Linked DNA regions of Rattus norvegicus. The protein of the gene in region 1 binds, or shares a complex with, the protein of each later gene. Links are inferred from orthologs where the notes say so. Each region holds a gene or a part of one and is shown on either strand. Other genes may lie near its edges. The genes, in order: Wdpcp and Fuz.

The links.
Region 2: the proteins of Wdpcp (region 1) and Fuz are in contact, whole or in part, in a cryo-EM structure (PDB 7Q3D), measured with the Homo sapiens proteins. The link is inferred for Rattus norvegicus from reciprocal best matches to the Homo sapiens genes WDPCP and FUZ. Residues at the interface, in NP_056994.3 of Homo sapiens: Arg55, Ile57, Asn75, Lys78, Leu82, Glu418, Asp419, Arg420, Leu421; in NP_079405.2 of Homo sapiens: His293, Glu372, Glu373, Pro374, Arg379, Gln397, Pro399, Thr400, His401, Gly402, Ser405, Leu406.

What each region holds. Positions count from the first base shown.
Region 1 is NC_086032.1:99,845,862-99,850,444, forward strand, and holds the start of Wdpcp (WD repeat-containing and planar cell polarity effector protein fritz homolog), read left to right. Parts: upstream 1-1,682; 5' UTR 1,683-1,942; intron 1,943-4,583. Other genes in the region: Mdh1 (malate dehydrogenase, cytoplasmic), read right to left, coding at 1,287-1,289. UniProt on the Homo sapiens protein: Probable effector of the planar cell polarity signaling pathway which regulates the septin cytoskeleton in both ciliogenesis and collective cell movements.
Region 2 is NC_086019.1:104,514,324-104,518,881, forward strand, and holds the start of Fuz (protein fuzzy homolog), read left to right. Parts: upstream 1-1,752; 5' UTR 1,753-1,889; coding exon 1,890-2,000; intron 2,001-2,216; coding exon 2,217-2,338; coding exon of another isoform or gene 2,339-2,390; intron 2,391-2,529; coding exon 2,530-2,614; intron 2,615-2,874; coding exon 2,875-2,943; exon of another isoform or gene 2,944-2,958; intron 2,959-3,143; coding exon 3,144-3,248; intron 3,249-4,486; coding exon 4,487-4,558. UniProt on the Homo sapiens protein: Probable planar cell polarity effector involved in cilium biogenesis. May regulate protein and membrane transport to the cilium.

The DNA.
Region 1 (4,583 bases):
AAAGCCCTTTTAACTCCAGAGTTTCAACACTCTGAATGACAAGGAACAAAGCTATCAGATGTTACACGCAGACTTGGTGGACTTATCTCCTAGCAGGGATTACGAAGTGTAATACAGTCCTGGTAAATGGGAAGAATAAAGAGACCCTCATGCAAGCCTTGTGACCTTGAGCAACTTGTATTCTGGGTATCAACAAACTAAATTTTAGTATTTGAAGTAGGGTTTTGGATAAGATGATTTTTAAAAAGGTTTTCACATAGGTCTAATAGCCTAAAGTTCGAAGTTCTTGGATAACTAGTGCCGTTTTATGACTAAAATTATTAAGGTAGAAACTGCTTAAGCCATAATTTAAATAACTACTTATGTGCAAAAATAACTAGGCACTGATGACAGAAAATTAATAGTTATCCCCTTACGGTCTCTTATAGAGGTTAAGAGGAGTTTTTGTCTTTGTTTGAAAACATGTCTTTTTGGGTTCTGTGAAATTTCCAGTCCATCCAAAAAATTTCCAATTCATCTCACACATCTTGAAATTAAAGGAGAACAAGTATTTTTAAAATGTAAATTCTAAAGTACGTAGCAATTTCCAGTCTGGTGGCAAATGTCACCTTCAAACAGCACGAAGATTAGTCCTACGTCAGAGCTCTTTCACCCCCCTCCCCCGCCCCCAGCTGGGGACAAGATAGATCTAGAGCTTCGACAAGATGGTTGCGTTACATCTGCAAGAAGGTTTTTGGAATTCATGACGGAGTAGTAAAGAATACCCGCACTGTTTGACTAGCTACGCTAACCAGTCCTGGCATTACAAACGGAGATCAAGAATAGGTTTTCAGAAACATCTGTTTTCTTTTAAATTAAATATGGTGGAAACATGTCTCCTGAAAACTGGGATCATAACCTGGGGCACTGCCTCAACATCAGAGGCCTATTCTTTCCATGAGCTTAAGAGGCAAAATAGAGTTAGGACCCGATCTTCCCCTCCCATCAAATCACATCCCCCACATCAAATCCTTTAACGTCCTTCGGAGAAAATTTGGTCCCTCAGTCATGTGCAAAGATTGAGACCCGCCTTTCCAAGGACAGCGATTTCTCTAGAGTGCTTTTAAGAACCCCCAAGGGAAGCGAAACCCTTTCCAATTTCTGGGTTACTGCGACAGTCGCGAGGGTGAGTCGGATTTGCAAACCGCGCGAAGGACAGCGCCTGGCATTACTGCTTTTCTAAAGCGCATCAAGCGCAGGAGGCCGAGAGGCCGGAGCCGCTGCAAGTTCCAGGAGCCCACACTCACCATTATTGCAAACTGCAAGGCCGATCTCTGCACCAGCAAAGACAGTCTCCAGCAGTCAGGTCACCTCTACAGCGGAACAGACTCTGGGAGACAGAGCCGGGCTGGTCAGGAAAGGTTCGGCTAAAGCCCCGGCCATTTCTGGGAAGTGTAGTTCTTCTGGGGCTCTCTGGCGCCCACCTTCGTGCATTCCTGACAGAACTAAACTACAATACCCAAAAACCTCTTCTTCCTACGCGCCTCGCGGACTGCAAAGTAGTCCCCGGGGCTGAGCCTCTGTGATTGGAGCACGACTGCGAGCAGAGGGTTGGTGCTTTGGATGAGGCGCCTGCCTGACGTCGCTCACCAATTGGCGGGAGGGGAGGCGTTAACTCGAGGGAGGAGAAACGACCCCTGAGCGACAGCACCCGCCACTCCACCGAGAATCTATCCTCCCCCAAGACTAAACAAGGGAGGCAAAGAGACCTTCCGTTGCAAAAAAAAAAAAGCCAGCTCGACCCGGAAACAAAACCTTTTAAAAACGCACTCTCTCAGAGGCGGGAGGAATTGACGCTTGCGGAGGAACCGGCAGCTTCACCGTTGCTAGGCGACAGGGAAGGCTCACCTGAACGCTCTCGGAACCGAGACAGAGTGGAGCTGCGTCCCCACGCCTGAAGCAGGTGAGCTCGGCCGGGAGGGATTTTCTTTTTATCTAGGGGCCAGAGCAGGGCGCGGCACGGTTGTTCGTATCCTGAATCCGTAGTCGGCAGGCGTGGGCGACCTCTCGAGTCCCCTGTTGGGGTCAGGAGTGGATGCCACAGTTTTCTGGAGGGAAGAGTGTCTTGCAGTTTGAGTTCAGTCCAACTTTTCCAAAGTAAAGTCAGAAAGGTTTGTGGAGTGAGCCCCTTCCCTGTAATAGCCGGTGGTGCCGGGATCTAACTTTCTTTGCCTACTGTGAACACTGACACTTTTTGCTCATTCTCTTTTTGGAAACTGGATGAGCTTTACAAACGTCTTGATAAAGTTTTGCCAGACCCGTTATTTCCAGGGGAGATTGGGACACACTGGTTGTTTCAGGCGGAATGTTAGCGGCTAAAACAACTCAAGAGGTTTTCACTGAAAATCAAAGTTGTTAAGGTGAATTTCTGCATTCTCTGTTTTGAGCGGATATTCGAAAAGACGCGAAGCTTCGGAACAGATCAGTGAATATGGTATTGGTCTAACTTCAGAATTTAACGTCACTAGAAAATGGATGCTGGATGGCTTCAGTTTTGTTTTTGTATTTAGTATTTGGAGAAAGAAACATAATGCCTTAGGGTCTATTTTAGTTAGGGCTTCCACTTCTGCGATGAAACGGCCTGACCAAAAGCAGGTTAGGGGCAAAGGATTCATTTGTCTTACACTTCCACATTTTGGCTCATCATTCGAGGAACTCAATACAGGTAGGGACCTGGAGGGCATGAACTGTTGCAGAGACCATGGAGGGGTGCCGCTTACTGGCTTGTCGCTCTTGGCTTGCTCAGTCTGCTTCCTTATAGAACCCAGGACCACCAGCCCAGGGATGGCACCACCCATAATGGGCTGGGCCCTCCCTCTTCAACAGTAATTAAGAAAACACCCCATGGGCTTGTCTACAGGCTGATCTTATGGTGGAAGCATTTTTTTCAGTTGAGGATTCCTCCTAACTTAAGACTGTATTAGCTTGTGTCAGGTTGACATAAAACTGCTGGGTCCAATAGCATTTAGGTTTCAATAGACTGTATCTCACTCGAATGGCTCCTAGAATCACTTTATTCACTTGGTGCCTTCCTTTTGTTCTTGAGCACTAATCTTTTTACGTTGGAATGCTTCCTGTGTCTCTGTCCACACTTAGTTCATTTGTGGGTTGCGTTTCTAAACGTTACCTCAGTGTCAGAGACTCTCTGATTCCAGGGCATGCCTCTGTACGTTCTGTTTCTCCTTGGTTTTCTAGTAGGCATTAGTTCGGTTGCTTTATAGTCTTACCTACTGAGGAACCATGTGTGGATACATCACACTTTTGATAGAGAGAGCACGACTTGCCTCCAGTTTCACTTGATGGCTGAGGGAGAGATTACAGGATTTCGAAGTGAAGAGCCAAGGGCTGGAGCTGATTTAATGCTGACCTGATAAACCTGCCACGGGACCTTAGGATAGCAGTCTTAGGAACCACCGTAGCATGGAACAAAACTTTGTAATTCCTAATGGTAACATGGTGATCTCGTCATTGTTAAAAGATGGGCTCTGTCTTGGAAGCCTCTCATAAGGGGTTAGGCAGCTACGGTGAGGACACAGAGCTGTGTGTGTAGTGCTGTGGTGGGCTGGTTAGTTTTCATTGATTTGACAGAAACTAGAGTCACTCGGAAGGAGAGAATCTCCTGAGTGCTGGGATTAATGGTTACCACTGCTGTAACTTGGGGGAAGAAAGGGTCTTTTTGGCTTATGTGTTCACACTCCATTGTTGTTCATCATTGAAGGAAGTCTGGACAGGCGTGCAAATATGAAAGGTAGTTGAACAAACCAGTGAGCAGCATTTTTTTTTTATGGTCTTTGCTTCAGTTTCTGCCTTGGGTTTCACTAATGAAATACTGTGAAATGGAGGTGTAAGTTGAAGTAAACCTTTCCCCCCCCCAAGTTGCTTTCAGTCAGTGTTTTATCACAACGTTTGGTGGAAGACAGTCATTACCCAGAACAGAAGCGTGTCCTTAGAGTGAGCTCATCTTCAGGGAACCATTTCTTCTACTATTGGATTTCCTGTGACATGCGTAACTTCTGAAATGCGGACTGATCAGGAATGGGCCTTGCAAAGCCAGGAAGCCCGATTCTTTGCCTCAGCCATTGTCTTCTATCTTGAAGAATCCATGTTTACAGTCAGGATGTGTTTATGACTGTTCAGACTCAGATTGTACCAGTAATAGAGGTTGGAGAAAGAGGAGCCTACTAAGGTGTCTATTTTAATACATCCTTAGCTTTCTTTTTTTCTTTTTTAAGATTTATTCATTTATTTTATGCATCAGTACACTGTAGCTATCTCAGACACCCCAGAAGAGGGCATCAGATCTCATTACAGATGGTTGTGAGCCACCATGTGGTTGCTGGGACTTGAACTCAGGACCTCTGGAAGAGCAATCAGTGCTCTCAACCTGAGCCATCTCTCCAGCCCCATCCTTAGCTTTCTTATCTTGCCTGAGCCAAGGCTTCTTACCAGCCAACATCTAGTTCTTCTCACAGTTCTCCATTTTGGATTCTTTTTTGGCTTAAGTCCATCTCTTCTTTTTCTTCTCACGTGTATGTGCTGTGTGT
Region 2 (4,558 bases), on another chromosome or scaffold:
CCTAGCACCCACAATTCCTAGAAGCTCAACTCCAGTTCCAAGGTATCCAACACCTTCATCCATTTTTTTTTTTTTTGGTTCTTTTTTTTTTCGGAGCTGGGGACCGAACCCAGGGCCTTGCGCTTCCTAGGCAAGCGCTCTACCACTGAGCTAAATCCCCAACCCCACCTTCATCCATTAAAGCAAGACACCAGTGCACATGAAATAAAAATAAATAAACCACTAAAAATGTTTTCTAATATGCATAATAAAAAAGCAATTGCTGTCAAACATACAGTAATCAAGCAGCTAAAACTGCTGCCTCAGAATTTACAGAATCAGCAAAGGGTGTGACAGTGGCAACACTGGGTTAGATCCAGCATAACCCCACCCTTGGCTACATAGCAATATTTTGTCTCCAAAAATTCTTTTGTTTTATTGTATCATTTGAAATTCATGGGGTTGGGGATTTAGCTCAGTGGTAGAGCGCTTGCCTAGCAAGCGCAAGGTCCTGGGTTCGGTCCCCAGCTCCGAAAAAAAGAAAAAAGAAAAAAAAAAAGAAATTCACCAGGAGAAATCTAATATTTGTCAATGGAAAATGTTCAAGTCCTTGAACTTATAGAAATTGATTATATAAAAAAAAAAACATTAGAAAGACAAGTGTTAGAAAAAGAATCAAAAGTTCAGGGCTACATATCGAGTCCCAGGTCTGCATGGGCCACATGAGACCACACCTCAAAAATACACTAAACAACAGTAAACAAAAAGAGAAAGAATGAGAGTGCCTGGCGTTTGCCATTCCAGGCCAAAGAATTGCCAGGAGTTCAAGGCCAACCTGGCCTACAGATTGCAACCCTCCCAGGAAATAGAAAATAAAGACATAAAGCTGTAGACATACTATTTTTAATTAGAAAATAAAATGTGATTATTATAGCGAGTACGCCATGGCACGCATAAGAAGGTCAGCTTTGTGGAGTGGGTTCTCTAATACAGTGATCTTATTTGTGAAAATCTGTCCTGGTCCCGCGATGCTAACTTCTATTGCTGCAATGGAAGGAAGTTTTCAGTGCTTTAACTTCCTTTTTTTTTTTTTTTTTTTTTTTTGGATGTAATAAGCAAAGGCAAGGTTTATTACGGAGATCTATTACGGGGATCTCCGGGCCGACACGTATCCCACGCAGGAGACAGAGGTGTCGACCGTGCTTTAACTTTCTTCACGCTATACCATCATAGGCATGAATTCGTTACAAAAATTATGTAGTTTTCATGATTTTGGAAAAGAAAGGTTCTCTTTTCTTCTGCCTTTTACTAATAACAAAAACAACCACCTCATTTGGTGGTTACTAGGCAACGCTGCCTGGATCAAACCACTCTGAAAAAAGGAGAGGGAGACGGTGGCACGGAGCTTCGGAGTTTTGAAACCGAAATTATTGTGAATGGTGGTTGCTAGGCAATGCCTGAGCATACCGCCATCTTTGATTAGGGCAAGGTATTTACCACTATGGAATGAAAAAGCCACGCTGACTGTCGTTGCCATTCAATGCCTTAGCACTGTCCCCATCTTCAACCCGTTGTTTAAAAAATGTATTACAGCACACAAGAAGGTTGGTAGGCAACGTCTTGTTACCACCACCGTCTTCAAGCTAGATTCTTCATTCTCGTTATACAAAAGATAAGAAACTGTCCGGGAACAACTTGAATGCTTGGCAAGAAGTACTTGTCGCCATCTTTATTAGGGTCATGATTACTTCCGGCCGGGGCGGGGCCGGACCAGTTGGAGGGGCTGAATTGATGATCCCGCTTCTCGCCCTTTGGCGGCTCCAAACAGCAGGCCACTTTGCCTACCCGCATGCTCCCAGATCCACACCGAGAGTCTCCAGGGGCGTGACTTTCCGGGTGCGGGCTTCGAGATGGGGGATGACGGGCCAGGAAGCACGGTGCATCTGCTGTGCCTCGCAGCCTCTAGCGGGGTTCCCCTGTTCTGTCGGAGCAGCAGCGGAGGCGCCCCCTCCCGTCAACAGGTGGGGGCATTCGACTCCTGCGTCTAAATTAGGATTTGGGAAGCTGGGACTGCATACATGCAGGGATTAGAGGCTCGCGCCCTTTAGCTGTTATGGGGGACTAATAAATCTGGTTTCCTGAAGAACTTTGGGGGAATATTGGGAGATTGCAACGTGGGACAGCGGGGTCTCAATGGGTCTTGGGTGCTACTGCAATGCTTCCCCACTCTTCCTCAGCTCCCTTTTTCTGTCATCGGGTCCCTCAATGGAGTCCACATGTTCGGCCAGAATCTGGATGTGCAACTGAACTCCGCAAGAACAGAAGACACCACCGTAGTGTGGAAGAACTTCCATGACAGGTCCCTTGGCGGGAGCAAGGGAACAAGATCTGAGCAATGGTTCCTGGCTTAGGTGATCCCAGAGGGATTCCCCACCCCCACCCCCATCAGGATGTAGCGAACAGTGTAGAAATAGCTGGGACACACGGAAGCGCCTGGCTCAGTTTCCCAGGCCTGACCTCATTCTTGCTTCTCATCTTTCATCCCCACAGCATCACCCTCATTGCTCTGTCATCTGAGGAGGGCACCTCTGAGCTGAAGCTGGAAAGAATGCTCCACATGGTGTTTGGGGCCATGGTGAGACTGGGCCCTCTTTTCTCCAAAACTCAAGAGAGCTGCACTCCCAGTCCTTTCCCCTCAGTCCAAATCCCTACATTTTTTTCTCACACCCAAGCATCCAAACAGCCCTCCTCCCTCATACCTAGCAATCCAGGAACCAGACCTCCTCCTTCATATGCAGGGATCCAGACCTGACTTTCCTCTCAATATCCATCCAAGCACTGTCCTCTCTGACTAGATCCTATTACAGATCCCACTATCCTATGTGACTCTTCTAGGTTCTCATTGTGGGACTTGAGGAGCTGACCAATATCCGGAATGTAGAGAGACTGAAGAAAGAGCTGAGGGTGAGGCTGTGAGATGTGAGTGCAGTTAGGATCCCTAATTCAGGCCTGTTTGTCTGAAACTACAATTCCCAGTAGGCACTGGGAAAGCATGGGCCCTTGGGTTCTTGGGAGAGCTTGTTTAACCCTGGAGCTGGCCCCAGTTTTCTCTGGGCTGATCTGGGCCCGCTTGGGTCCTAGACACCTCCTTTTTCCTCTACCAGGCCAGCTACTGTCTCATTGACAGCTTCCTGGGGAATTCAGAGCTCATCGGGGACCTGACCCAGTGTGTGGACTGTGTCATTCCTCCAGAGGGGTCTGTCATGCAGGTATTGGGGCAGCTATAGAAATAACTGTGTCCCCATGGTTCTACTCGGCCTTCCTTTATTTTCTCCCTCTGGACATTGCCCTAGCACCCTCTTATCGTCCTGGAATCATGTTTTATCTGTAACTCTAAAAGAACTGTCTTCGCCAGGGTACACTGACTGTTCGCCCGCAGCTTCCACCTCTCCAGTCTCCTCCACTTCACATGCTCCCTGCCTCTCTGCCTCACAGGGAGCATTTCTGTTTGAGCAGATCAATCTCTCTAAGACACAGTTCCCAGGCTGCCTTGAACTCGCTCTGTAGACCAAGCTGACCTCCAACTCACAAACATCTACCAGCCTTTGCCTCCGAGTGCTGGGATTAAAGGCATGCTCCACCACACCCACCCAGTCTTCCTCTCTTCAAGTTATGCCTCTCCTGGCAGTGTGTCCTGACCTCAGAGCTTCCATTGGTCAGCACTGTGCCTTCTCATCCAGTAGGGGATCAACTTGTAGATGTGTGGTTAAAACTATTGGCACTGCAGGGCCTCCTGGTGCAGGCCTGTCACTCCAGCTACTCTGGAGGCTGAGGAAGAGGATGCAACCTTTAAGGCCAGTCTAGGCAGCTCAGTGAACACATGACTCAAAACTTCAGTTGTGGCTCCACGGGAGAGCTGCCTAGCTAGCATGCCCAAAGCCTTGCGTTCCATCCCCATAACTGAAGGAGAAATAAATTAGAAAAAAAGAAAGAAAGAAAGAAACGAACAGGGCTGGAGAGATGGCTCAGTGGTTAAGAGCACTGACTGCTCTTCCAGAGGCCCTCAGTTCAAATCCCAGCAACCACATGGTGGCTCACAACCATCTGTAATGGGATCTTATGCCCTCTTCTGGTGTCTCTGAAGACAGCTACAGTATACTTATATATAAATCTTTTTTTAAAAAATAAACAGGGGTTGGGGATTTAGCTCAGTGGTAGAGCGCTTGCCTAGGAAGCGCAAGGCCCTGGGTTCAGTCCCCAGCTCCGAAAAAAAGAACCAAAAAATAAATAAATAAATAGATAAAATAAGTAGTGTATGAAGAATTGAGAATGCTGACGAACAGGAAAGTTAAAGCATCCCTATTTACAGAGAGGGTTTCAAACAGGAGCTTGGCAGCCTTGCATGCTGGAGTGTCTCTGGTCTCATGGCTGCTCTTCTCCTCCATGCCTAGCTAGGAAGGGAATGTCCCTCCTTGCCTAATGACATCTAGTCTGACCGTTTCACCAGGAAACCCTCTCAGGGTTCGCAGAGGCCACTGGCACAGCCTTTGTCAGCCTGCTGGTATCAGGCCGGGTGGTG